7 linked regions of the Cricetulus griseus genome follow. The protein of the gene in region 6 purifies or fractionates together with the protein of the main gene of each other region. This does not show direct contact. Links are inferred from orthologs where the notes say so. Each region holds a gene or a part of one and is shown on either strand. Other genes may lie near its edges.

Region 1 (4,239 bases), on a different chromosome or scaffold from region 6:
TGGGCTCTATTTACATACCTACCTAAGGAATGAAGATGTTACCTGATAAGTCATTTTTTTCCATTAAAATTGGGGCCAGGGAAACAACTCAGGTGGTAAAAAACTTGCTGTGAAAACACAAGGATGGAGTTCAGTCTCTAGAACCCATATAAAAGAGTTGGGTAGGATGATGTGTAGGTCTGTAATCCCCGGTGCTCAGGAGACAGACACAGGTGGGGCCCCTAGGGCTTTCTAGTCAGGTAGCCTAGTTAATTAACAAACTCCCTTCATCCCAGCATGTGGGAGATTATTAAGGCAGGGGCAAGTAAATCTTTGAGTTTACAAAGTGAGTTCCAAGCCAGCCAGATTGTCTCAAAACAAACAATAAGTAGGTGGTTCCTGATGAACCAACCATCCTTAAGGCTGATCTCTGGCCTCCATATGCATACAAGTGTCCACACGAACATGCCCACACAAAACAATAAAAAAGTATTCGGTTTACTCATCATAATTCTATATTTCATGAGTGCTCTGGAACTCAAGCAGTAAACTGGTTATCTATCCTACAAATACTACAAAGATGGACCTTGATGCCAATTCAAATTCTCATGAAGAAAGCAACAACAAAAAATTCTCATGAAAAGTTAAAATTCTCAAGAGTCCTTCTAATTATCCTCATCCTTACTAGGTCTACCAATCATATGAAAGGATGCATTTACATTAATAAAAATCCAGGGCTGGCAAGATGGCTCAGTGGGTAAAGATGCTTGCCACCAAGCCTGACAAACTCTAAATGGATCCCATATGATGGAGAGAATCAACTCCCACAAGTTGTCCCCCGACTTCCACCTGTGTCATGGCATGCTGGTACACACACACACACAAAGTAAATGGTTAAAAAAAAACTCAAGTCCCTCTGCCAATCTTTTCCTGCCTTTTTAAATACAGTCTACGGTTTATGTTTTATTCCATCTCCCCTTCCTCAGCACTCCAATCATACAGAAATGAATAGCCCTTTTAATATCCATGATCAAGCCGGGCATTGGTGGCGCACGCCTTTAATCCCAGCACTCAGGAGGCAGAGGCAGGCGGATCTCTGTGAGTTCGAGGCCAGCCTGGTCTCCAGAGGGAGTGCCAGGATAGGCTCCAAAGCTACACAGAGAAACCCTGTCTCGAAAAAAACAAAAACAAAACAGACAAACAAACAAACAAAAATCCATGATCAAAACCCTCAAATTGGCCCAATTATCCGTTCACTTTCTGTGTTGGTCCAAGTAAGGGGTGGCACCATCCTTGGGGATCACCTAGGTACAAGGAAGAGAAACCACTCAAACTAGTTTAAACAAAAGAGAGAATTTATTAGGCAAATATACTTGCAGAGATTCCAACAGCTGTAATGGGTCAACAGCTGGAACCACACCTTCCTATAAGACAGAACATGCTTCAATCACAAACTCTAGCTTTGGGATCTGCACCATCATGAGGGTGATCCTCCTTGTACCCTGCACGAGGGACTAGAAAGTGGGTTCATTTCTGCTTGCCTTTTGATCCTTATAATCCTTTATGCTGGCCTCAAACTTGTCAAGCACATGTTGGCAGACATTCATGAGCTCATTCAGGCCTTTCTGAAACGGTTCAACAGCTGGAAGGGTACCCCGTGTCTGAATTCGCAAATTAATTTTGCTCTCTGAAGGATGGGTCGTAGTGTAACCACAAAATTCCACTTCCGGGTTCTTCATGATCATGTACCGAAGAGAATTTCCTAGGGTATGGTCCTCCTCGTGCAGTACAAATGTCACACACTGTCTATCTGTTCCAGCTGCCTGGACCATTTCCAAGGCTGTCTTCCTCTCGCCTTCGGCCATTGAGGTCTTCAATCCTGACATTTTTCTACACACATATTTTTTTGTAAGAATGAGATCATATGGGATACCATTTTGTGATTAAGCTTTTTAAGATTCACCACCTCAGTTTCCTGCCTCCGATACTTCTATACATAAATATTTAACTCGAGTTTCTCTCTACTCCATTTGATATATTGCCCACAAGGGGAGTCATCTCAGAAAATAAACACAAATGTTTGCAAAATCTTTCTTTGAATAGAGAAAAAGAAAGGGGCAGAGTTATAATAGGGTAGGCCCTGCTGAAAGATGAAATGGGAGTTGACAGGCATAAAAAACACGATTACTTTAGCATAAAAATGGCAACCACAAGTTATTAAGGTGGCAGGCTCAGTTATGGCTTCCCTTTGAAAGAGGTAAGGAAACTAGTAAGTCAAAGGAAGTGAAAAGTTTAATAGGAGGAAGAATTTGGCGGTCAGAAAGAATTTACGAGCAGTCTGCAGAGCGGAGTTGCAGTAACTTTAGCCGACTTAACATGCCAGCACCGCCCGGTGCGTGACCTTACACGAGGCAGTTCTAATGGGGATGGCAGTTTGGCACTTAGAGCTGGATTCCCAACTTCTCTCCCCTCCAGGATGGCTAGTGTCCCTCTGAGCTTTTCTGTATAAACAAACCCACCACCGCTTCTCCTCCCTCTTCCCAACCCGCTCGGCTCTACTCTCGATCTTCCCTTGCCCAGCGCCTCGGGTCAGGCCTAGCCGCCCCGCCGGGCCGCAGTCGGCCGCGTGCCCGGTCGCTACCCGCTTCGCTGGCCCGGCCCGCCGCCCCCTCCACTCTTCCCCTCCAACCTTACCTCTCCAGCTCCTGATCCTCTTCCATCGCGAGGGGCGGCTCCAGGAAATCCTCAGGTGGTGCTGCCGAAAAGGACGCTCTTCCCCATATCGCGAAAGATGCGGGCGAAGCAGGAAGGAAGAAACCACCGACGGAAGAAGCGGATGACGGAAGGAGGGGGGCGGAGCCGCAGCGGCGCGGCAGGACCCGATGGAGGGGCGGGGCGAAAACAGAACACGCCCCAGCCACGCCCCGTGCGGGCCGGACCGCTCACCTGGAACTGCGGAAGCTAGGAGGCTACGGTGCAAGCAGTCCCTCGCCTGTCGCCCCCAGACACTGCTGTTTAGGGTCGGAGTTGAACCTCTCATCTGCTAGACCCACCAGGGACGGTACTGCCCCGGGACTGTCTTCCCCCCCCCGGACTGGAGTCCTTTGGAGCCTTTCGTAGGGCACCTTGCAACCTTGAAAAAGCAGAGAGACTTGTGTGCAGAGATGACTCTTCTGACCATACTGAGGTTTACAGGGAGCATTTTTCTCCCTGGGGTGCAAATGCACATCTCCATCAGGTGCAAGGCAGCGTTTGTCTTTCTTTTCGGAGAGAAGTATGAGTTTGGAGCACCGCCCTCCTTCCCCAGGAGCTCGGGTTTACCCACTGTGGACCTGCGGTTCCTTTCCCCTTTGATCCCAAGGAGCCGCCCTTCTCTTCCCCTCAGGTGCATCCTCCCAGTTCCCACCTGACCCTGGCCAGGCTGGGTCCCCGCCCCACCCCAGCTGTCCTCTAGCGCACACCTACACGTCAGCCACCCCGCACCACCTGTTCTCCCTCAGCCTGGTCCCGCAGCCCTCCCCTCCCTTCAGCTGTCCCACGGCCGGCGCGGCGCTCCGGGGTGCAAGCAGACACTTCCCGAGCGTCTTCTCTGTGTGTGTCTGAGAGAATCCGGCCGGGAGCGATGGCGGAGGGCGGAGCGTGCTCACTCTAACTCGGGAGTGATGAGCAGGGCCGGTCTGGCCCCTCGAGCTCCTTGATTGGCCGAAAGACTCAGAGCCCGCTCTTAGTCCCGCCTTTCTCCGCCGCTGATTGGCTCAGGTGCGTGTCGGGTTGGGCCCCTGCGCTCGCCCCCGAGGGGAAAGGCAGCAGGGGCGGTTGAGAAGTGAAGTCTTGGCCGGACTTTGCTTCTCGCCAGGAAATCGGCGGCGGTGAGTCCCGGCGGAGTGGAGCCGGGCGGCGTCCTCGTCAGCGCTCCTGCGAGGAGCCCGCCGCTTTCCCTGAGTGAGTTACTTCGCCTCAGGTGCGGGCGGTGACAGGGTGTGGCGCTGGGGTAAGGGGAACCGCCGGGGGCCGCGTGGAGTCCGGCCCGGCCCGGTGCGGGTGCGGGTTCCCGGCGCCGCGCTGCGGGTCTGCGCGACGCTCGCTTTTTAAAACGGGGAGCTCTGGGGACGAGTTCTTGCACTTCGCGTCTGCACGTTGTCGGGAGCTAAAGCAGCGCTAGCTGGCTGCCCTCTGGTTTTGTTCCCTGGAAGAGATGAGCAGAGATCCTTCTCCCCGCCCCAGCCTGTTGCGGGAGAATTCTCACCTTTCCCTTCAGGC
Region 2 (3,127 bases), on a different chromosome or scaffold from region 6:
ACGAAGGACTAGATGACTTGGAAAATGCAGAGGAGGTTAGTAGCCATCCTCAGCTTCCTGCACTGCAACCTGGAAGCTAGACAGTGAGATGGTGATGTTTGCCAAAGGTTTCATCATTCCCTTTCCAGGGATGTGTCTCCTGCAGGTACACTTCGCCTTTGCCTAAGTGTCACCTCAACTAGGTCTTAAGAGTGTTGTGTCTTATTTATTTATTTTTTCTTTTCTTTTCATTTGTTTTTTTTTTTGTTTTTGTTTTTCGAGACAGGGTTTCCCTGCATAGTTTTGGAGCCTGTCCTAGAACTAGCTCTTGTGTCTTGAACTCACAGAGATCCAACTGCCTCTGGCATCCAAGCACTGGGATTAAAGGTGTGTGCCGCCACCGCCTGGCTTGTTGAGTCTTGTTATGTATGTTTTTTAAGACTTGTTCTTAGTGTATAGCCCAGGAACTCAGTATTTAAACCAGGCTGGCCTCTAGCTTACAGAAATCAGCCTTCCTTTGCTGCCTGAGTGCTGGAATTAAAGGCATGGGTTCTGGTAGAAATAGCTTTGATCTCTTTATTCACTACTCTATCCTAAAAACTTAAAATACCATTGGACAGTTTTTATTTAAAAAAAAATATATATATTTTGTGTGTACCGGGCAGTGGTGGCATACACCTTTAATCCCAGCAGCACTCAGAAGGCAGGGGCAAGCAGATCTCTGTGAGTTCAAGGACAGCTCAGGCTACACAGAGAAACCCTGTCTCAAATAAACAAAGAGAAATTTTGTGCATATGGACATGTGTGTCTGTGTGCTGTGTAGTGCATACGGAGGGGCAGAGGTTGCTGTTAGATGTCAGCCCCTGTCGTTCTCTGAACTTGGGTTCACTGTTTCAGCTAGGCTGTCGGTCAGCAAGCCCCAGAAATCTTTCTGTCGCTACCTCCTAGTTCTGTGGTTATAGGCACACACTGTTATCTACCCAGACTGTAAGGAGACTGAGGACCTAAATTTAGGCCCTTTATTCTTGGTTTCAGAATCCTGTAAACTCTGGGCATAGGCTGTGCACATTCCTGGCAGCAGTTGTTGCTCTGTGCCTGTTTTCTCTAGGTCGTGACCCTACTATCAGAACCCAGGGCCTTATGTGTCCTCAGTCACAGCCTGAACAGATGAGTAATGTGTAGCAGGTCATTGCTCAGTATGGTGTGACTTCCTCTTTACCCTGACTGTTCTAGTCACTCGACCCATTGACTCAGTTTCATTGTGTGAAAGATCTGGTGTTTGTGCTCATCATTTATAGGGCCCGCCTTCATTTGGGCAGGACAGTAGGCTCTAGAATCTTTTTTTTTTTTTTTTAAAGATTTTTATTTATTTATTTATTTTGTATACAACATTCTGTTTCCATGTCTATATGCACACCAGAAGAGGGCACCAGATCTCATAACAGATGGTTGTGAGCCACCATGTGGTTGCTGGGAATTGAACTCAGAACCTCTGGAAGAGCATTCGGTGATCTTAACCTCTGAGCCATCTCTCCAGCCCCCTAGGCTCTAGAATCTTGACCACAGTCCTCTTTACTGCTAGCTTGGAGACTTTGGTCAGGTTGGCTGGCTTTTGAAGCCCTTGGAATAGGGACCATCATCCCTGCCTCACCAGGTGGTAAGGAATGGGGTACTAGTGAGTCTCTGTATAGTCCTTGGCATCCAGAAATCGTTACTGGTGCTGAGTGTCATTGTCATCATCTTCCTCCCTGACCCAAAACTTGCCCTGAGATTTCCTGTCTTTGTTTTCTTGGTATCCAGGAGGGTCAGGAGAATGTTGAGATTCTACCCTCTGGTGAACGACCACAGGCCAACCAGAAGCGCATCACCACTCCTTACATGACCAAGTATGAGCGAGCCCGTGTACTGGGCACCCGGGCACTCCAGATCGCGTAAGTGTTGCCCCTCTGCTGTCTTCTCCATCAGCTGGGCCACAGTAAGCCCCAGGCTGCTGATCATGCCCTGTCCCTGTGTGTCAGGCATTGTGCTGGGCTTAGGGAGCCAGTAGCGTAATGTAAAAAGTAAGCCATGAAAAGTAACTGAGGAGCCAAATAACCTCACAGGAAAAAAGTGACAATAAGAACCCTAGTCAGGCCTGGTGGCATAGATACTCGGGTCACAGAAACAGGAGGATCATGGTTCAAGGCCTGCCTGGGCCATGGGTTGAGACAGGCCAGGCAGTGGGCCTTTAGTCCCAGCACTTGGGAGGCAGAGGCAGGCGGATCTCTGTGAGTTCGAGACCAGACTGGTCTACAAGAGCTAGTTCCAGGACAGCCTCCAAATCCACAGAGAAGCCCTGTGTGTGTGTGTGGGGGGGTGCTGCAGAGAGCCGGGCAGCGGAGACAGAGTGCTCCCAGTGCTCAGGAGACAGAGGCAGGCAGAGCTCTGTGAGTTTGGGGCCAACAGAGTAAGTTCCAGAACAGGCTCCAAAGCTACAGAGAAACCATTTTGAAAAACAAAAACAAAAAAAGCTGGAGAGAAGTTAAGAGCACATACTGTTGTTGTAGAGGAACCGAGTCATAGCTGCCTATCAATCACTTCAGCTCCAGGAGGGTCTGATACTTCTGGCCTCCATAGGCACTTCCTTTTATGCACATACCCCAGCATATACACACAAATACAAATAATTAAAAAAAAAAATAGTAAAAGATGTCAGTAGACCCTACAGGGATAGGTTCATGTTGACATTTGATAAGTCAGTGTGGAGCATTCATAGGGTGTGAAGTGCCCAGACAATCCTCAATCCAAGACAACCCAACTGTCATGTTTCTTTGTGAGGAAGACAGCTCCAGCATAGTCTAGGCTTTAGTGCTCCTTACTCTGCAGGATCCCCTGCCCTCTGGTGGTGCCCTTGCTGCCCATGGTTCACAGACCGCCAGACTGATTTCTGTCTTTGCTTAAGTGCTGAAATGGTTGGATAGCTTCCATTGGGTTCAGTGTGGCCTGCTAGCACCACCTGGTGGATGATGTCGCTCACTACTTGCTAACTGGGTGGTTGACATGCTTGTTGATTGGTGGTAGCTGCAGCACCAGAGTCACTTGAAGCCCACACTTGAACTTTGCGCGTCCATAGGGCACTGATGAAAGATGCCTTTCAGTTACTCCTGTC
Region 3 (4,140 bases), on a different chromosome or scaffold from region 6:
CTGTACATATTCACTGTGTTCCCTTTTAAAAGGGCCCTGCCTACCTCCCATCCTTTCTCTCTTTCTTTCCCTCCCTCTCTGTCTGTTTCCCCCTCCCCCATTCTTCTCTCTCTCCCTCTTTCCTTTTTATCCCTTTCCTTTCTCCTCTCAACTGCTGCCCCTGTCTCGGAAGCCAATCTCCTCCTTCCCTTTCCCCTATAAAAAACCCCTCTGCTTGAACCCTGTGCATGGCATCTTTCTCTCGTGCACCGCTTTTCTTAAATTACAACACTCCTAAGACGAATAAAACCCTGGCCCCATCCCCAGCACTGCATAAACAGGGTATGGTGTAATACACCAGTAAACTCAGCAATGGCAAAGTAAAAGCAGGAGGATCAGAAGCTCAAGGCCACCCTTGAATGGGTAGTAAGTTCAAGGTTAAGCTAAGCCTTGGGTACATGAGACCCTACTACAAGGGGTGGGGGGTGCTGGAAAACAAGAAAAGGACTGTCTGATGACTGGTAGGGAATATGCTAGATTTTGTTTTAAACAATTTGACAGAAAATGAGGGACAAAAAAAGAAAAAAAGAAACATTTTGAGGAACCACCATCATATAAATGAATGTATACCAAGAATGGGAACAGAAAGTGTCCCAAGAAGATGAAGCACTAAGATGCTCAATAACATTGAGACCAGCAAGGGAAGAGGAGTAACAAAAGAACTCCCAGCAGTAGGATGGAGAGGGAAATTCAGGGCCATGTCAGAGAGCTGAGCATTGCCAGGGTGTCTGACAATAGCTACTCAGATGGAGAAAGCTGAACCAGACAGCCTGAGCTACACAGTGAGACCCCCCCCATACAAATACTAATCTGATGTGGCAGCTTGAGAGGTGGAGACATAGAACTTAAGATCATCCTCTGCTGAATACCAAGATCAAAGCCTGTCTGAGCTACTTATGACTCTGTATTAAAAAGTCTGACAAACTGTAGTATATATTACAAGTGAACAGAAGGTAAAGAACAATGAATGATAACACAATTTAGAGCTGGGCGTCGGTGGCACACACCTTTAATCCCAGCACTGGGGGGGGGGGAGGCAGAGGCAGACGGATCTCTGTGAGTTCGAGGCCAGCCTGGTCTCCAGAGCGAGTGCCAGGATAGGCTCCAAAGATACACAGAGAAACCCTGTCTCAAACCACCCCCACAAAAAAAAAAAAAACCCCACAATTTAGGTATGTCATCCAGGGATATATAAAGTCCACAGGTAGAATAGATGCAAAAACTTACATTTGCACATCAAAAAAGAAAAAAAAAAACAAAAAAAAAGAAGAAAAAAAACAGTATGGAGAAAAAACTGTCAAGATGGCTTTGCTGGTGGGAGAGTAACTGCCTAGAATGCTCAGGATGCTACCATTCCAAACACCACTATATGATGATGGGCACGTGGCTTAGTGCTAAAGCACTTGCCTAGCACCCTAGTGTCCATCCCCAGCACCACAAAACAATTAACAGTACACTGGAAGGCAGAGGCAGGCGGATCTCTGTGGTCTACAAGAGCTAGTTCCAGGACAGCCTCCAAAGCCACAGAGAAACCCTGTCTCAAGAGAAAAACAAAGAAAAGAAGAGAAAAGAAAAGAAAAGAAAATGAGGAGTTGTTGTTGTTGTAAAAAGCCAGAGAGTGGGCTGGAGAGATGGCTCAATGGTTAAGAGCACTGACTTTTTCCAGAGGTCCTGAGTTCAATTCCCAGCAACCACATGGTGGCTCACAACCATCCCTTATGAGATCTGGTGCGCTGATATACATGGAAGCAGAATGTTGTATACATAATAAATAAAATAAAATCTTAAAAAAAAAAAAAAAGCCTGAGAGTAAACCGATAGCAGAATTTTTGAACGGGTTCTGTTCAGGTTTCTGCCTTGAGTTCCTGCCCTGACTTCCCTCAATGATGAACTGTGTCCTGAAGTGTAAGATGTAATAAATAAACCCTGTCAGGCGGTAGTCGTGCACGCCTTTAATCCCAGCACTCAGGGAGGCAAAGGCAGATGGATCTCTGAGAGTTCGAAGCTAGCCTGGTCTACAGAGCGAGTGCCAAGACAGCCAGAGATACACAGAGAAACCCTGTCTCCAAAAAACCAAAAGATGTAATAAACTTCTACCCCGAAGTTCCTTGTTTGGTCATGGTGTTTTTCACACAACAGAAAGGAAACTAGCACACCTTTGTATGTTCACAGCCCTGGGTATCAGTATCACAAATAACGACGGTGGTAACGGCTAGGGTTGCAGCCTTTGCCTGGCATGTGAGAAGCCCTGGGTACCAACTCCAGCATTACAAAATGATGATGATGGGGGGGGGGGCAGACGACTGCGGAGCGCGTGCAAGGTCTTGAGTTTCATACCCAGAACCAGGAGGAAAAACAAACAAGCAAACAAAACTCATTGCTCCTACACTCCCCTCCCTCAAAGAACGTGGGTTGCGGGACCAGCAGGATCCCTCCCCAGCCGCCCCACCTCCAGATACTTCCGGCCCGTCCACTCCGCCCTCCCGCCCTGGTAGCGGGTGCGGAGGGTCGACCACCAGCCGTCTCCGGCCCCCAGATGAGTCGGGTTGCCCTCGGACATGCGGCTTACACTTCCATGTCGCAGCCGCTTCGTCCTGCGCAGCCGCTGGAAGGGAACGGCCTCCCGTCGTGCCACCGCCGCGGAGCTCTCGGCCTGCGTGTGCGCCGCAAGCCACTCTGGGACGCCGTGTTGCATGCCGGGATCGCTGTAGGGAACGCCGGGCTCCTTGCGTCGTACGGATTTCGAATTTCAGCCTCTGGAGGCAAAATTTAAACTTTTTTATGGTCTAGGTTTTGTTAGGGTTTTAATAAGATAAGGTTCCTGTCTTGGACGCTTTAAAAATCTCCAAGCCAGTCAGTTCGCAGCTGATATCTCAGCACTAGAGAGATTGAAGCAGGGGGATTGCCACGAGTTCCTGGCTAGCCTGTGCTACAGAGTGGGTTTCAAGCTATCTTGGGCTATTGCAGACCACTGTGTAAAAAAACAAAAAACAGGGCTGGAGAGATGGCTCAGAGGTTAAGAGCACCTTTGGCTGCTCTTCCAAAGGTCCTGAGTTCAATTCCCAGCAACCACATGGTGGCCCACAACCATCCGTTATGAGATCTGGTGCCCTCTTCTGATGTGCAGATATATATGGAAGCAGAATGTTGTATACATAATAAATAAATAAAATCTTGTTTAAAAAAAACGCACAGGCACACACACACATACCAATCAACCAACCAAAACCCCCAGAAGCCAGCCAGGCATGGTGGCGCACGCCTCTAATTCCAGCAAGGGAAAAAAGGGAAGGTAGAGGCTAGCACATTTTTGTGAGACAACCTAGGCCACACAAGAAACAGAGAGAAAGGGAGAGGGAGGGAGAGAGAAAGAGAGACACCTGGAGAGATGGCATAGCAGTTAAGAGTACTTCCATTTCTAGCAAAGGATCAGGAATTGATTCCCAGCACCAACGTGGTGGCTCACAACAACCTGTAACTCCAATTCCAGAGGATCCAAGGCCTTTTATATAGCCCCCGCCAGGCACACATGTGAAGTATATACATACACACAGACACTCACAGATACACATAAAATAAATCTTTGGCTGGGTGCTGGTGGCACATGCCTTAAATCCCAGCACTCAGGAGGCAGAGGCAGGTGGATCACTGTGAGTTCGAGGCCGGCCTGGTCTACAGAGCGAGTACCAGGATAGGCTCCAAAGCTACACAGAGAAACCTTGTCTCGAAAAACCAAAAAAATAAAATAAAACTTTGAAAAAAGAAGAAAGGGGGTTGGTGGCGCATGCCTTTAATCCCAGCACTCAGGAGGCAGAGGCAGGTGGATCTCTGTGAGTTCGAAGCCAGCCTGATCTCCAGAGGGAGTGCCAGGATAGGCTCCAAAGCTACACAGAGAAACCCTGTCTTGAAAAACCAAAAAGAAAAAAAAAAAAAGAAAGAAAGAAAGAAAAGAAAAAAGGTTGGACCTGCTGGCCCATATCTGCTATAATCCCAGCATTTGGGAGTTGGAGGCAAGAGGATTAGGGATTCAAGATCATCCTCCCAACAGCAAGTTCAAGGCCAGACTAGGATATAGTTTTGTTTTGTTTTTTGATCCGCCTG
Region 4 (3,500 bases), on a different chromosome or scaffold from region 6:
AAATAAAAATGAGTATTTATTAGTTGATTTCTGAAACATATAAAATTTGATTTTATGTTTAAATCCAGACAAAAGCATGCAACAAAATCAAGAAAATAAAAATTAAAAAAATCCTTTATTTCTGAAGGAAAATTGATCAAACCATTCTATACACTCAAGCACATAAGTCATTGAGATTAAACTTGTCCAACATGCTTCTTATGAAGACATGTAACACTATCATCTATATACTTCCTTTTTTGACTCAGCCAATGCAAGTCTCTTAGAAAGAAACAAAGAAAAAAAAAAAAAACAGCTTTAATACTAATGGCATGAGCTGATGCTATACAAATTTCTCATGTTTTAATGATGTTGTTCTAAGAACTCAAAAGATGATATTGATCTCTCTAACAATCAATACGTTTTTATTGTGCTTAAGAACTATTCATGAGCAGGCTCACTTCCTCTAAAACCACTTCCCTTTTCTCTGTCTGAGATGCTGAGCCTTCTGAAAGTGTTATTCCTCCTCTCTGCCCTAAGCATCAAGAATAAACACATTTTATATTTTACGTCATCGGAACATAAGCAATAAACTTATATTTAAAAGCAAGACTTTTAAAGTTTTTTAGTCTAAACTGTCAATAATCAGAGGCATCCTTAAAAAGTTATGTACAGTGGTAATATTCACAGCATTGCATAGCTAAACAAACAAAATAAATGGGAAAAACACTTCATTCTATCAGTAGGAATTAGTGATAATTAGTGTTTTATCCACATAATAGATTAACATAACTATTAGATTGTATTTTCTAAGACTTCTAAGAATGTTTTAAAAGGCAGTATATTATTGCATTGTAAGGGAAAGACACAAAGTATGAGTAAGTTTGCAGCGAGAAAACTCGTGGAAGAAAAACATACAATAAAATGTAAATGTTTGCCCTTTTTGATTTCTGATAAGTAATTTTTTTTCAAGTTGGTTGTACAAACTGTTTTCTCTATTAAAACCAAATTACCTCATAAAGTGCCTAATACATACCTTGTTTTTCTGCAGGTGTTTCAATAAAATAAGGCATTCGTTTCACTGTTTCTCTCAGCTCTTGCTTCAAGGCCAGCATGTAATCCTCATCTTCTCCTGTTTTCAGGGGCACTGGTTTGTAATCTGTATCCTGTTTAAATTAAAAGACAACGCCTATTTAAATAAACTAAGAATTTTAGTATTTCTCTTATCCACATGTGAGACAATGTTGCTCTTACTGAAAGACAGTGATGAGGAAATGCTGGCAACATGAGGAAGGCCAGGGCAGGAACAGCCTTCTAGCTAATAAATTACTTTTATTAAAAAAAAAAAAGTGATGCTATATGCTTACTTTCCCACTGTTTAGAGCTACTCTCACAGCTGGTGGCCTTATTTTGAAGGTAGTCACTATACTCAGATACTATGCCTATACCTGAGATACTTGTTTTCAAACTATATTGAGTATTAAAGGTAAAATATGAAGAGCAAAAAGCCTAATAGGACACAGGTGCTATGAAAAGGAAGCTAGGATATCATGATAGAACCATGTATTTAAGCCCTAAACCCCTAAAAACATGCAAAAATCCATTGTGAAAACTGAACTGTCAATTCACTTACAGGAAACAGTGGTGGTGGCTTCAACACAACATCAGGCAACTTTTCCCCTCTGCTGAAGCCAACAGCCTCAATATTAAAGGTATAGGCAGCACGTCCTCTTCCTTTATTACCAGCCATCAGAACCAATTATAGCAGAGGTGTGAACAAACCCTGAAAGACAGAGTTAAATGGTAAGATTTACTGAATTCTATGCAAAGGAAAAAAAGCATTAGTTTTACATTTAATGTTACATTTGAAAGCAAAAGGTAACACTCTAGCCCTTATATAGCCTGGTTGTTTTAAAATACTTTTGAATGGTTGATTTAAAATACTTTTGAACCGGGTGCAGGGATCTACGCAGAAGAGTAGGCAGTAGAAGAGCCTACCAGGATGGAGGACTCCCAGGAAAGCATTTCTTCCAGGCACAACAGGACTGATGCAAATATGAACTCACTGAGACTGTAACAGTTCACACAGGGCCTGCACAGGTTCAAATGAGACAGGGTCCCAGCACTGAAAGGGGGAAGTAGACACATGCTTCCTCCGGTAACAAAGAAACCAAGTAGATACAGCCTGCACCCTTAACCAAGAAGCCCTTGACACAATGCATTTGATACATGCTTGCAAAGGAAAATTAGTTTTCTCGAATGGAGTCTCACTGGGAATATTAACATTTCTGGGTAGGCTCCATACCCAGGAGTAGTTAGACAACACAGAATGAACTCACCAGTAATTTTTTTTTTTTTTTTTAGAATTTTTGTTTCATACTGCTCTGTGAAGTTTTGTTTTGCTGGTCTTCTACTTGTATATTTGGCTTCCACTTTTGTGAAAGGTCTTTTGTGTGTGTTTCTTGTTTTTGCTTGTTTGATTTGGTTTTGTAAAGAAAGAGAGAGAGGGGGAAAGACAGCTAGGGTGGTGGTCGTGCATGTCTTTAATCACAGCACTTGGGAGGCAGAGTCAGGCAGATCTCTGTGAGTTCCAGTCAGCCTGGTTTACAGAGTTCCAAGACAGCTGTACATAGTAAAAGCCTCTCTTGCACGCGCACACATGCACGAGAGAGAGAGAAAGAGAGAGAAAGAGAGAGAGAGAGAGAGAGAGAGAGAGAGAGAGAGAGAGAGAGAGAGAGAGAGAGGGAGAGAGGGAGAGGGAGAGGGAGAGAGAGGGAGAGAGGGGGGCACAGAGTTGGATGCATGGAGAGGATCTAGTAGGAGCTGGAGGAGGGGGAAAGTGTCATTGGAATATATTGTATGAAAATTTTTTAATTAAAAAGAAATGTATATAGGAGCAAGTGATCAAGATGGCTGAACAGTTCATATGCCATCTCTATGTAGAGATGAAGACTAAAGGACACAACTCCTTCACTCAGGTCTTCAGGACATTGAGATGGTGTCTGAAACACTCAGCTAACTGCCAGGATTCCCTCTATCTCTCTATGGTTTGATAACAGGATCTCAGCTAGAAGGAGGAGGAGGAGGAAGAGAAGAAATGTGTGAGTGTACGCATGTGTGTAGGAGGGGTGTGTTCTCCTATGCAGACATGTGTGGAGGAGGAGGTTAACATCACCTTTGAACATCTCATTTAATTGCTTCTCCACCTTATTTGAGACAAGATTTCTCACCGAACCTAGAGCTTAAGACTGGCTGGTCAGTAAGCCCCAGTGACCTACTTTCCTCTCTGAGGTTACAGACATATACCACTAGCATGCGAAGTCTTGCTTCTTTAACTGTGGGTTGTGGCCCTGTATGGGGTTATAGGACTGTGGTTATCCAAAAAATTTGGCAATAAAACCAAAAATTTATTAAAAATGTAATATGTAATGAACCCTCACCTGGTATCACTGCAGCCTTATTACTGAAGGAAAAAACATGCACACTTGGCATCATGCAGGCCTTCTCACCACACAATGCAG
Region 5 (4,157 bases), on a different chromosome or scaffold from region 6:
CCCAGAAGGTCCCCATCCAGTGGTTCAGACAGCTGTAATGTCTCGGCAGGATTTCGTGCAATGAAGTCAAATGCCTCAGGCAGAAAAGCCAGGCAAGCACCCAGTCTGGCCGCCTCTAGAACCAGCTCAGCACATGTTTTAAAGTTCTCTTGCTTGTTTGGTGTTGATGTTACCTGGCACACAGCCACCAGGGGCAGCTCCCAGGAAGTTGAGGAGGACACCTCCATAGCTCTGGGCCTGTGAATAGCACGGGCAGTGTTCTCAGATTTGCTAGCACGGAGAAACCCAGAGGCTCAAGTGGGATGGGGCCACAGACCTAGATGTTTTTCTTTTTTGAGACAGGGTGTTTTGTAGCCCAGCCAGGTCTTGTTATGTAGCTGAGGATGACCTTAAACTGCTGCCTGCTTCCCAAGTGCTGAGATTACAGGTGTGTCCCACCATCCCTAGTGACTTCTTTCCATTCTTTCAGAGCATAATAACCCCAGAGCTACTGGTGTTCACTTATTAAATGTTTGGTGGGTGGCAGACAACTTTGTCTCCCCACACTGCAGTTATAAACACGGATTGAGCGGCAATGTGCCAGGCAGAGAACAAGAAAATATGTTACCTGGGCTGAGTACAAAGTACCGAGATTCGAGGCAATCTGTTTCCGGTACACAAAAGGGACAGGAGTTGGCGAGGAGGCCTGGTGATGAAGCCCAGCCTGAAGAGGGTGAAAAATCAGGACACCTAACCTTCCTTCAAGTAGTATGTTTCTAGAATTCTCTGTCATTTCCAGGCCTGGCCAGTAATCCCCTCCCCCAAGGCTTCAAAAACATCCCCCCACACGATTAGCTGTGGAAAGAGGTCGTAAAAGGGAAACATGGGAGAGGAGACTGATCCGAGCCTCAATACCTCAACTTCCAGTGATCTCACATTAAAACTGAAGCCCCTTTCCTCTGCCAAACGTTTCCGCGGTTCAAGTCATCTCATGGAACCTTCCTCGCTTCCCCAATTCTCTCTTCTCGGCTGTGCCACCTGCACAGCTTTATAGGCTCAACGCGTATCTCTCCCCTTACAGCAGTATCTCGAAAGGCAAGTTCACTCTCCCTAGATCGCCACCATCTCGAGGTGGGCAGGGGGCTCCGGACCAGATCCCAACCCTGGACCCCGCCCTCTGATTAGCGCGCCCTTCCCCGCCTCTCCCTGGGGCAAGAATCTCTGTTGCACAAGTTAAAGCACCGTAGGTGGAATTCACCGCAGCGGGCAGGGTTGGGGAGTAGGTCCTACATGAAGCCACCGCCAAAACCATTCGCAGGGTCGACCAGAGGAGCTTCCTGGAGCCAGAAGCGCAGGGGCAAGTGGGTGGTAACTACCAGACCGGATGTGACGCAGTGGGAGTGCGCAGGCCGGAAAGCTCGCAGGTGGCGAAGATGGCGGACAGCAGCGGTCGTGTGAGCAAGAGCAGCGGGAGCAGCACCGGGAAGGGGGCGGTGTCGGCCGAACAGGTGAGCATCCGCGAGCGCCGAGGGCAGCTCGGCCGGTGTCGAGTTCGTGCAGGAAACGGGGTCTGTGGCTTGTACCGGCCCTCAGCCCTTTCCACGTTCTCCGTGTCGCACTCGCGGAGGGAGGCGATCACGACCCCTGCTAGGGCATGCGGAGGTGGGTGTGCAGAGGAGAGCCACGTCCGCAGGCTGCAGCGGGAGCCCAGTGGGAAAGCCCTGAGCTGCGGGAGCTGGGAGGGTGTCCAGGGCCCCAAGGTGATGGGGTCGTCGTTTCCCCCGTCTCCGAGCTACTGGGAGGCGGGCCTGCTTCGGCGTTGCATCTAGTAACGAACCCCAGAGGTTATTAGTCGGGGAATTGTTTAGTCTGTGACTCTAAAACCGCGCTCACCATCGCCCACGCGCTGCAAAACCACGTGACTCAGACTCGACCGCTTCAGTCTTCTGTAACTATTTTTTTTCTGGTTTTTCGGGACAGGGTTTCTCTGTAGCTTTGGAGCCTATCCTGGCACTCGCTCTGGAGACCAGTCTGGCCTCGAACTCACAGAGATCCGCCTGCCTCTGCCTCCCGAGTGCTGGGATTAAAGGTGTGAGCCACCAACGCCCGGCCTTCTGTAACTATTTTAACTAAGGAGTCTTTAGTAGATTGGCTTTGTGGTTTAGTTTGGTTTGTTTGATGGTTGGTTGGCCTTGGGGTCGGGGGTGGAAGTTGCGACGGGGTCGCTCTATGCAGTCTTGACTTTTCTGAAATACACAGTGTAGACCAGGCTGGCCTGGAACTCAAGAGATCCGCTTGTCCCTGCTCCTGCCTCTCGAATTCTGAGATTAATAGCCTGTGTCACTAAGCCGGGCCAGGATTGTTTGGTCTTTTGAGACATGATCTCACTAAGTAGCCCAGGTTGGCCTCGAACTCGCTCACTGTGTTCTCGGAGTGGAGATTGACTTTTTAGAAGAGACCGGAAACCCTTTTCTAATCTAAGTTTGCCCCCACCCCAATACATCGGGATATGTCTGACTAATCAGAAAGCCCTTTGTGGTATGAGAACCGTGCCTTGTTAATCGTGGGACTAGTATTTAATCGATAGTAGAAGGAAAAAAAAACCACACAATTGAAATGAAAAGAATTGAGGCTAGGGATATAGCTTAGTGGGCCAAATGGGAGAGCCCTGAAGTGTAGGACATGGGAGGGTGTTAATTAATTGTTGAACACTCAGTACAGTCAGGTAAAGGTAGCCGAATAAAGAGTTTAAAACCTGCCCTATCAAAGAGCATATCTATTGGGACAAAAGGGGGATTTTCATAATTCTACTTCGAGGCAGAAAATAAGTGTTCTAAGAGAAGTAAAATGCATTGAAATTTGGAGGTAGCCTCCAATATAGTGGCTAATACTTTTATTGAGGGTCTGTCTTGTGTTAGGCTCTGCTGAACACAGAGAAACTGGTAAATGAAACAGACCTTATCTTCAACTTGGTCAAAGATCCCTAGAAATACAAGACAGCCGAGTGTGATGGCTCATACCTGTAATCCGGCTGGATTACCATGTCCATTCCAGGCTAAGCCTGGGCTACAGAGTGAAACAGTTGTAAAAACAAACATGACAGAAAGACAAATAAAACAATGAGAGTTTTAAAAAAAATTATTTTATGGGCTTGGTGATGGTGGTGCACCATTTTGTCTTAGCACTTGGGAGGCAGAGGCAGGAGGATCTCTTGAGTTCAAGGCCAGCTTGGTCTGCAGAGCTAGTTTAGTTTCAGGACAGCCAAGACTATACAGAGAAATCCTGTTTTGAAGAAAACAAACAAACAAACAAATAAATGCTGGTAAAGGCCCCTTGAGATGGCTTTTGCAGAGGCCCAAGTTTGATTCCCAGCACCCATCCATGTTGCTTGTCTCACAATTCCCCATCACCTTGGCTCAAGGGAATCCAACGCCCTGTTCTGGCCTCCAAGGCAACTCCACTTGAGTGCACATGCTATCACACAGACACACAAACATGCACATAATCTAAACAGTTTTTTTGTTTGTTTTTGTTATTTTGTTTCAGGACATAGTTTCTTTGTGTAGCCCTGGCTGTCCTGGAACTAGCTCTGTAGACCAGTCCCTGTATTTGAGAGAGATGTAGAGGCAAGAGAATTAGGAGTTCAAGTTCATCTACTCAAAGTAAATTTGAGTGTGGGTTACATGAGATTCTGTCTCAAAAAGATAAGAAAAATCCCTGTCACTTGACAGTCAAAGTTCAATGTGTGTTTTGGAGAGGACAAACCCTACTAAAACATAGCTTTATACCCCTTAGTCCCAAAACTTGTGCCCTTACAATGCAAAATACGATTATTCTGCCCCAATAGTCCCCAGAGTCTTAATTTGTTCCAGTACTAACTCAAGATTCCAGGGTCGTTTGTGCAGGGAAAAGTAGCTCATCTCCTTCCAGCATGTAATGCAGAGGCAGGCAAAGAGAGAAGTAGGCCAGAAAGGTAGGTGGGGGTGGGTGGGTGGGTGGGTGGGTGTGTGTGTGTGTGTGTGTGTGTGTGTGTAAAACAAGCCTTAAGTCTGATTCCAAGAGAGCAGGCATTGTCTTACAATTCTATAACAATTTTTCTCCATGTGCCATTTGGAAACCCTGGGGCAGGGATTGGGCCTCTAAAATGCTGGGCAGCTCCACATCTATGGGTTTGTTGG
Region 6 (3,500 bases):
CAGCAAGACTCTTGTTTCTCAGAGGACCCAGGACAGAAGTCACCAAAGAGCCCCATTAAGGTAATTAGCTCATGAAAGATGCTACACTTCGAATGCTCCTCATGTGCAGCCACAGCTTCCTCTTGCTGCCTTAATCCTAGGGATCAGTTTACCTTATTGTTCTTGGTCAGGTATCTACCTGTGCAAGTTATTCAGCCATAGAGTAAATTAGCTTATGTATATATATGTGCGCGCGCGCACACACACACACACACACACACACACACACACACACACACACACACACACACACACACACGACATTGGGATATTTTGAATGAATATATTAAGATTAATTGGTTATACAGACTATGAATCAACAATATGGAAATTTTAACTTGATTAACTGAAATTGGAGTCATAATATATAGGACAGGAAAAACAGGAAGAAGTTACTCCAGTTCAGTCTGTTTCCTCAATTTAATTAAAGTGGTATGAGAGTGATTCCTGAATAATTTAAAACCACCAGGCACATTAAAAACATGCTTGATTCTAATGCTTTAGAGAAATCTTTGGGCAGTCTTTTAAGAAATTTTATATCGCTGAAGTTTTCATCATTAATGTGTCTCTGCTGTCAACATCAGTAATGATGCATCCCCACCCAACACCCCCAGGGAGTTCTGTCCCTCAGGTCATTGTCACCATGTAAATTCTCATCCTGGGTACTGGCTCTGCTTTTCTAAAATTTAAAAGGAGAAAGTCTGTGATGTCTCACACTTACTCAGCACCAGTAGTTGGCAAGGGAATCACAGCCTGGTCTTCATAGGAGGTTTAAGGACACACCAAGGTTCTGTAGCAAGACCGTCAAATAAACGTAGAATTAAATAACACACACACACACACACACACACACACACACACACACACACACTCGTGCATGAAAGCAAGCAGCTGCATTTTGCTGGTTGTACAAATAGCCCTTGCTCAAAGTTAAAAGTGGGAGGCACAGACATCCCCACCTCCCAGAGATGACTGCTGGCCATAATTGAGTGATGGTGTTCTTGAAACATGGCTGATTGTTCTTACTCTTTGATTTTTACTTACTTTTTAATTCATAAACTTTTCAAGATTCTGATACTAGAAAAAGATCCAAAAAGAAGAGAAGACCTCATGCAGCCTAGGCTGGATTTGAACTTAACGATCCTCTTGCCTCTGTATCCTGGGTGTTGAACTTATAGGATTGTAGGAATGTACCACCATATCTACCCAAAGATACACATTTTTTTACATTTATTCATAATTTTTGTATATATGTATTAACATGCAGATGCCATAGGACCTTATAGAGGTCAGCAGACAATTATCTGGTCTTTGTTCTCTTTTCATCATGTGGGACCAAGGGATCAAACTCATTAGACTAGGTGAAGCACCCACTGAGCCATCTCACCTGCCCCTGGTTTTTTCTCTTTCTCCTTTTAATGTGTATGGATTTGTTGCCTGCATATGTGTTCACCTGATGCCTGTGGAGCCCAGAAGAGGACATCAGATTCTGTGGCACTCAAACTCATGTCCTCTGGAATAGCAACCAGTGTTCTTAACCATTTAGCCATCTCTCCAGTCCTGGCTTTACTATTGCATTTTCAGAAGTTTTTTCAAACTGTTGATTGTTTGAGACCCTGGGTGTTAGCTCCCATTGCAGTGACTGAGTCTGTGCCATTATGTTGCATGACTATAACCTCTTCTGTATAAATGGCCTAGAATGTGAACCAGCCGCCCAGTGGACTTCTGAGGAGGCTCCAGCTCTGTGGTCTTGTTCATAGCCTCACTGTAGACACTCTTCTGAGTCATCTTCTACTGCAAAACCTGGGTGGATAATTCACGTCCTCCCCAAGGGACCTTCCATCGTCATAGATGAGGGCTGAATCCAGAAGAGGGCAAAGAATCTGTCATGGTGTCACTAGTTTTTGGTTGGGACACAGGCTATTGTAACGGTCAAGTGGGAATATTTGCATGTGTGTACATACATACATTTCTCAGGTTTTTGCAGGGGACGGCTTACTATAAATACTGACTGTTAGACCTGTCCTGAGGCCACTGCTGCTATCCTATTTAAAAGGCTTCTTTTCCATCAGACCTTACATGCCTCGGTGGTAGGAACTGAATTTTTTTCTGGTGAGTGTGTTTCAATGAACAAATGGTAGAGATGCCCCCAAACACTATGTGGCTGGTGGCATCGGCTGAAAACTTCCAACGGTGAGATATCTCACTCAGTTCCTGATGGTTCCAGTTTCTGGGGTTCTTTCAAAACAGTGTTAAGCAAATGTTTTCCCTTTTGAAGAGAGTTAACGGACTAAAGTTGCATACTTTTAAACTGCAGGGAATGGTTTGTATCATTCTTGATTTTGTGTCCACAGATGTTCCTTTTAACTTTCTGAGCCATCAGTACATGTCTGACAGTGATAGACAGCTTGGGGAGAGGAACGTAGCAGTACTGTGTGCAGGCCTTTGTTGCCACCCCTCTGACCAGTGTTGCCTTGGGTTTCAGGTGCCACTACTGCAAGTCATCGTGCCATGTGTCCTCCCTCCGCATCCCATATGCCTGCAAGCTGCTCTTCCAGGAGTTGCAGTCCATGAACATTATCCCCAGGTTGAAACTGGCCAAGTACAACGAGTAAGGATGAGTAGGGTCACTGAGGGCCAGCACCCTGTACAGCCAAAAGCAGAGGACTCACGAGAAACTGAGATGAGGAAGAGCAGCCTTCTGAGTTTTGAAATGCTGGCTGAACAAACTTGACCAAGAGCTTCGAGCCACAGGAGATGCTGGCCCCACAGACTACAGTATCATGCTGAGTCACAGGGACACACAAGCTAAAGTGATTATGAACTCCTGTTAATTTTCTTTTGCTTTGAGTGAGAATCTCACTCTGTAGCCCACGCAGGATTTGAACTCACCTCAATCCTCCTGCCTCCTTCTTTCACAAGTACTGGATTTACCAGTATGAGTTTATTTATGTTATTATATTTTAAAATATACTGAATAGAAAAACCTTCCTTCTTAAAACTCCCCATGACATCTTCTGGTTAACAGAACTCTGGTTTCTCATCAGACATGGAAGACATAAAGAATCATTTGAACTGGGACTATGGTGTTACTTCTGTCGGTAAAGAACCTATTGCAGAAACACAAGGACCCGAGTTCATCCCCAGCAACCCACATCAGAGCTGGACACGACCCTGGACATAGCATCTAGTACCCATGTACAGATCTGATAGTGTGGAGGTGGGGTAGGGGCAGACAGGCAGATGCCGAGCTTACTGAGCAATGGTGTAGCCAGTGACTGCACTTCAGTTCAGGGAGAGACCCTGTCTCAAGTGGACAGTGAGGAAGACCCCCCCCCCAGTGTCCATCCCTGGCCTCCACACACATACAAAGAATGGTTAGATTTGTTGGAAAAAGTAAACTGACACCCAAAGGGCAGCAGGTAACACAAGGGCTCTGTATGGCGTGGGAGGGCCAGCAG
Region 7 (3,935 bases), on a different chromosome or scaffold from region 6:
CCCACTATCTCAGGTCAGCTGTTTCTGGGTTCCCCAAGTTACGATCTTGACTCCCTCTTACTCGTACAATTCCTCCTCCCTGACTGTGGATCTCTGCATCTGCTTCCATCAGTTACTGGATGAATGCTCTCTGGTGACAATTAGCGCAGTCACCAATTACAGGAGAAGGCCAAGTGCTCTTAAGCTGAACCATTTAGCCCCTTCGTAGTGCTTTCCTATTTCACGCATGACCTTCGGCTTAGTGGTGGCACCGCCCACAACGGGCTGCGTCCACTTCTATCAATTTGCATTCAAGAAAATGCCCCATTGAGTTACCTACTTATAAGTCTGATAGAGACATTTTCCCAATTGGGATTCCTCTTCTAGATAACTAACTTGTTAAAGTTAATAAAACAAAACAAAAACAAAAAACCCACAGGAGTCACCCCAACCCCTCCCTGTGTAGGTTATAGAATTCTTGCAGAGGATTAAGGAGGTAAGACATTTAAAAGAGGTCTGAGAAGGCAGAACTGGGAAACGTAAAGGAGTCTATAGGAATGAGACAAAAGAACCAGATGGAGGTCTGTGGAGAGGAACTGCTGGTATTGTAGGTCAGAGTTGATCTGTAGAATTGAATCTAGTGAAATGGCATAAGTGAAATAAGTGAAATGGCAGAACTGGGACCAGGTGAAGAAATGGTCAGATTGGAAAGATGGTAAGTACAGATAGACAGGTATTCATACGTTAGGCAGACAGCAGCAGAGAGGTAGTATCAACACTAGGGGCTGAATTAAAGTCCCTGGGACATTAGGTTAGTCTCTGCCTGTCAGTCCCGGCTCAGAAGATGCGAAGCAGCCGGTCCTGCGCCACTGTGACAAGACCTTCCTGAACACGTCCATGGCTCGGAGTGCGGCACTGTCTTCTCATCACCTGTACCTCCCTCCGAACCTTATTCCCGGGTAGGTCAGGCGTGTCAGCTGCCAGCCCCATCTCTCGGGCCATTTAAGCCTGTGCTTGCGTCAGGGAGATCCGTGCGCACGCGCAGGCATTACAGGAAAGCTGGGAAGGCAGACAGCGCACTATTGGAGGGTGGGAAGGACTATCTGCGTTGACCAATGGCATGTGAGAGCTGCCTGCCGCAGTGCCTTCTGGGTACGTGCCAGTGGCCGCTTCTATTGGGCGTCTGCGGCCGCGGAAGCTTTAGACAGTAAGAGCTTACTTGTTGGATCTGCAGCAATGTTGCTTTTCTGTCCGAGCTGTGGAAACGGACTAATTGTGGAGGAGGGACAGCGTTGCCATCGTTTCGCCTGCAACACTTGCCCCTACGTGCATAATATCACACGCAAGGTGAGTCCCAGAGGCGAGCGCCTCCTCCACTGTCGGTGCGCTCAGACTTCCTGCGGGCGGTAGTTTTTTTTTTTGCTCACCTGTGGAAGTACCTCAAGTTCAGTAGTTGGTAATCCAGTGGCATCGCTCCGGCCAAATCGAAGCCACTCTTCTGGTCACTTCAGAGATTTCTGCCTCTGGCTCTCTGCTGCCGGTTTTGTGACACCCAAAAGGTTGCGAGATTTCCGTTTTACCTCTAGGCTGAACCACGCCTTTAAAACCTACAGCTGTCCTCCGCACGCCAGGCTCCAATACGCTTATCACCTTCTCTGATCTCAAATCTTAATGTTCTTTTTGTGGCTCTTCTTGCTCCCAGATCCTGTCGCTATTCTGGAGGATCTTACCTCCAAAAGTGCACGCAGTACTGTTAGCTCCTTCACGTTCCTTTCGCCCGAGTTTTCTTTCCCAACGAGCCATTTGGCGCTCTCTCTCTCTCTCTCTCTCTCTCTCTCTCTCTCTCTCTCTCTCTCTCTCTCTCTCTCTCTCCTCCCTCCCTCCCTCCCTCGGTGTGGGTATGTCTGTCTGTTTCTCTCTTCCTTTTCCTTTATCTCTCTCCCTCTCCCTCTCCCTTTTGGCTGTTGGTACATGCCTATAATTCCATCACGTGGAGAGGCTGTGGCAGGAGATTAAGTTCAAGGCTCACCTGGGCTGCATAGCATATGTATATGAAAATTAAGTAAACGAAGAAACCAAACCCAGCTCTTCCAGTTTATTCTCATTCCTTTTTCTTTTCCCAGGATTCATCGTCTTCTAATATATGTCATTGTTGCTGCTTTGTGTGTGTGGTGCTTGTGTTGGAACCCAGAGAAGCTGCTTTTACAGCCCTTTGTATTGTCTACCTTTCCATTCTTGTTCCTCCTTAACTCAGTGTCCTGAGTTCTGTGATTTCAGATGTGTATCATCAGGCCTTGGTGATACCTCATTTTTAATGTTTGCACTTAAGAGCTGTATGGTAGGAGTTTGGAGTCTGGATATGTGATAAGATTGAATGGTGACATAATTTTTGAAAATTGAAGGATGACTAAAGCAACGAAATGTGTCCCTGGGAATGCTGGGATACCCAGATAAATGGTGCTATTAGGCTTTTGTCTGTCTTTCATGTTGGGTTATTAGGGGTATGAGAGAAGAGCATGGTTTAACTCAGCTGTCTTCCTGCACTGTCTGCTGTTTCCTCCAGTTTCTAGGGGTCTCTGACATTGAAACTGTGCTGTTTTGGGAATATCTCAGTCACAAAACCCCTACATTTTAATGGCTCTTGTCGCTCTTTGAAGAAGATAAATTTTGTATCCATTTACTGAGTAGAGGAAATGCTGGAGGAAAGTTATAGTTTGGTGGCCTGCTTTTAAAACTATATGATTTCTTAAAATCTGATGACTTGTTTTTGTTAGGTAACAAACCGAAAGTATCCAAAGCTGAAAGAAGTGGATGATGTGCTTGGTGGAGCAGCTGCCTGGGAGAATGTGGACTCTACTGCAGGTGAGAATTTTCCCATTACAGAGCCAGTGACTCAACCCTATTTATTATTACTTATTATTATACTTAATAATAATAAATTTATTGTTATTTATTATAATGCAACCCTGTATATTGTTAGGACCAGTAAGATGGCTCAGCAGGTAAAAGCACTTGTTTCCAAACCTGTTAACCTGAGTTTGATACTTGGAGCCCAGATAGTATAAGGAGACAGCTGATTCATGAAAAGTTGTTTACCAACTCCCACCCCCTCAACCAGTAGTTATAAAAGAATTTAAGAAAATATAAACAATAATGACAAATAGCTTGTGTTTGCCAATACAGGAAATATTTTGATATGTTGTAGTCACAATATAGTCATTCTTTAAACTCTAAGCAAGGCATTAAGACCTTTTTGTTTGTTTGATTTTGTGTTTTGAGACAGGGTTTCTCTGTGTAGCCCTGGGTGTCCTGGAACTCTCTCTGTAGACCATGCTGGCCTCGAACTCAGAGATCCATTTGCCTGCCTGCCATGTGATAGGTTTAAAGGCATGTGCACCACCACCTGGCCATATTAAATTTTTTTAAAGCAGATTTCTTTCAAGGATTAAATATACTGAAAGGAAAATCACCATATTGATACCTGCTCTGTTGTTTCATTTAGATTCTCAGGACAGATATGGGCAAGTATAAGTAAAAATCTGGTACATATTCTCTTCTTGAAACAAATTTGGGGTTTATTACAAAAAAGTTTCAATGTTGATTTAAACTTAAATATTGATGGTTGTTGAGAGGAGGCGAGAGGTGTAAAAGGACAGTTGTCCATGCTCTAGTGGGTACAGGCTTCTCAAGAGAATTCTGTTGTATGTATTTTCAAATACCAATATTGTAAAAATGATTAGCCCTAGTCTTTTTTTATTTTTAAAAATGTTTATTAAATTAAAAACAATAAAAAAATCTTATTTTACATACCAATCCCAATTCCCTCTCCATCCTGTCCTTCATTCCCCCCCCCATCTCCTCATTCCATCCCCTATCTCAAAATAAAACAAAAGCCTCTACTCATTTTCCACTTTCAAGGCTTTTGCTTATTTTTGAGATAGAATCTTGCTGTGTAG

Evidence for each region.
Region 1: the proteins of Polr3b (region 6) and protein POLR1D purify together in Homo sapiens (affinity purification with mass spectrometry; 6 studies listed by BioGRID and IntAct, with this or other methods). This does not show direct contact. The link is inferred for Cricetulus griseus from reciprocal best matches to the Homo sapiens genes POLR3B and POLR1D.
Region 2: the proteins of Polr3b (region 6) and Polr2f purify together in Homo sapiens (affinity purification with mass spectrometry; 5 studies listed by BioGRID and IntAct, with this or other methods). This does not show direct contact. The link is inferred for Cricetulus griseus from reciprocal best matches to the Homo sapiens genes POLR3B and POLR2F.
Region 3: the proteins of Polr3b (region 6) and Crcp purify together in Homo sapiens (affinity purification with mass spectrometry; 5 studies listed by BioGRID and IntAct, with this or other methods). This does not show direct contact. The link is inferred for Cricetulus griseus from reciprocal best matches to the Homo sapiens genes POLR3B and CRCP.
Region 4: the proteins of Polr3b (region 6) and Polr3g fractionate together in Homo sapiens (co-fractionation; 4 studies listed by BioGRID and IntAct, with this or other methods). This does not show direct contact. The link is inferred for Cricetulus griseus from reciprocal best matches to the Homo sapiens genes POLR3B and POLR3G.
Region 5: the proteins of Polr3b (region 6) and Pfdn2 purify together in Homo sapiens (affinity purification with mass spectrometry; 3 studies listed by BioGRID and IntAct, with this or other methods). This does not show direct contact. The link is inferred for Cricetulus griseus from reciprocal best matches to the Homo sapiens genes POLR3B and PFDN2.
Region 7: the proteins of Polr3b (region 6) and DNA-directed RNA polymerase III subunit RPC10 purify together in Homo sapiens (affinity purification with mass spectrometry; 6 studies listed by BioGRID and IntAct, with this or other methods). This does not show direct contact. The link is inferred for Cricetulus griseus from reciprocal best matches to the Homo sapiens genes POLR3B and POLR3K.

Annotation. Positions count from the first base shown.
Region 1 is NC_048597.1:82,928,340-82,932,578, reverse strand, and holds the start of protein POLR1D, read right to left. Parts: upstream 2,801-4,239; 5' UTR 2,700-2,800; coding exon 2,674-2,699; intron 1,870-2,673; coding exon of another isoform or gene 1,494-1,869; exon of another isoform or gene 1,314-1,493; intron 1-1,313. Other genes in the region: Polr1d (DNA-directed RNA polymerases I and III subunit RPAC2), read right to left, coding at 1,494-1,869, 2,674-2,699.
Region 2 is NC_048595.1:376,264,885-376,268,011, forward strand, and holds part of Polr2f (DNA-directed RNA polymerases I, II, and III subunit RPABC2), read left to right. Parts: coding exon 1-35; exon of another isoform or gene 36-88; coding exon of another isoform or gene 89-145; intron 146-1,779; coding exon 1,780-1,910; intron 1,911-3,127. UniProt on the Homo sapiens protein: DNA-dependent RNA polymerase catalyzes the transcription of DNA into RNA using the four ribonucleoside triphosphates as substrates.
Region 3 is NC_048597.1:109,299,771-109,303,910, reverse strand, and holds the start of Crcp (DNA-directed RNA polymerase III subunit RPC9), read right to left. Parts: upstream 2,801-4,140; 5' UTR 2,617-2,800; coding exon 2,609-2,616; intron 1-2,608. UniProt on the Homo sapiens protein: DNA-dependent RNA polymerase catalyzes the transcription of DNA into RNA using the four ribonucleoside triphosphates as substrates.
Region 4 is NC_048595.1:302,148,360-302,151,859, forward strand, and holds part of Polr3g (DNA-directed RNA polymerase III subunit RPC7), read right to left. Parts: intron 1,763-3,500; 5' UTR 1,730-1,762; coding exon 1,613-1,729; intron 1,146-1,612; coding exon 1,016-1,145; intron 1-1,015. UniProt on the Homo sapiens protein: DNA-dependent RNA polymerase catalyzes the transcription of DNA into RNA using the four ribonucleoside triphosphates as substrates.
Region 5 is NC_048598.1:21,547,853-21,552,009, reverse strand, and holds the start of Pfdn2 (prefoldin subunit 2), read left to right. Parts: upstream 1-1,357; 5' UTR 1,358-1,412; coding exon 1,413-1,487; intron 1,488-4,157. Other genes in the region: Nit1 (deaminated glutathione amidase), read right to left, coding at 1-237, 608-703, 916-917. UniProt on the Homo sapiens protein: Binds specifically to cytosolic chaperonin (c-CPN) and transfers target proteins to it. Binds to nascent polypeptide chain and promotes folding in an environment in which there are many competing pathways for nonnative proteins.
Region 6 is NW_023276806.1:150,710,658-150,714,157, reverse strand, and holds part of Polr3b (DNA-directed RNA polymerase III subunit RPC2), read left to right. Parts: intron 1-2,524; coding exon 2,525-2,654; 3' UTR 2,655-3,500. UniProt on the Homo sapiens protein: Catalytic core component of RNA polymerase III (Pol III), a DNA-dependent RNA polymerase which synthesizes small non-coding RNAs using the four ribonucleoside triphosphates as substrates.
Region 7 is NC_048599.1:60,488-64,422, reverse strand, and holds the start of DNA-directed RNA polymerase III subunit RPC10, read left to right. Parts: upstream 1-1,135; 5' UTR 1,136-1,215; coding exon 1,216-1,326; intron 1,327-2,753; coding exon 2,754-2,841; intron 2,842-3,935. UniProt on the Homo sapiens protein: Core component of RNA polymerase III (Pol III) which synthesizes small non-coding RNAs using the four ribonucleoside triphosphates as substrates. Can mediate Pol I proofreading of the nascent RNA transcript.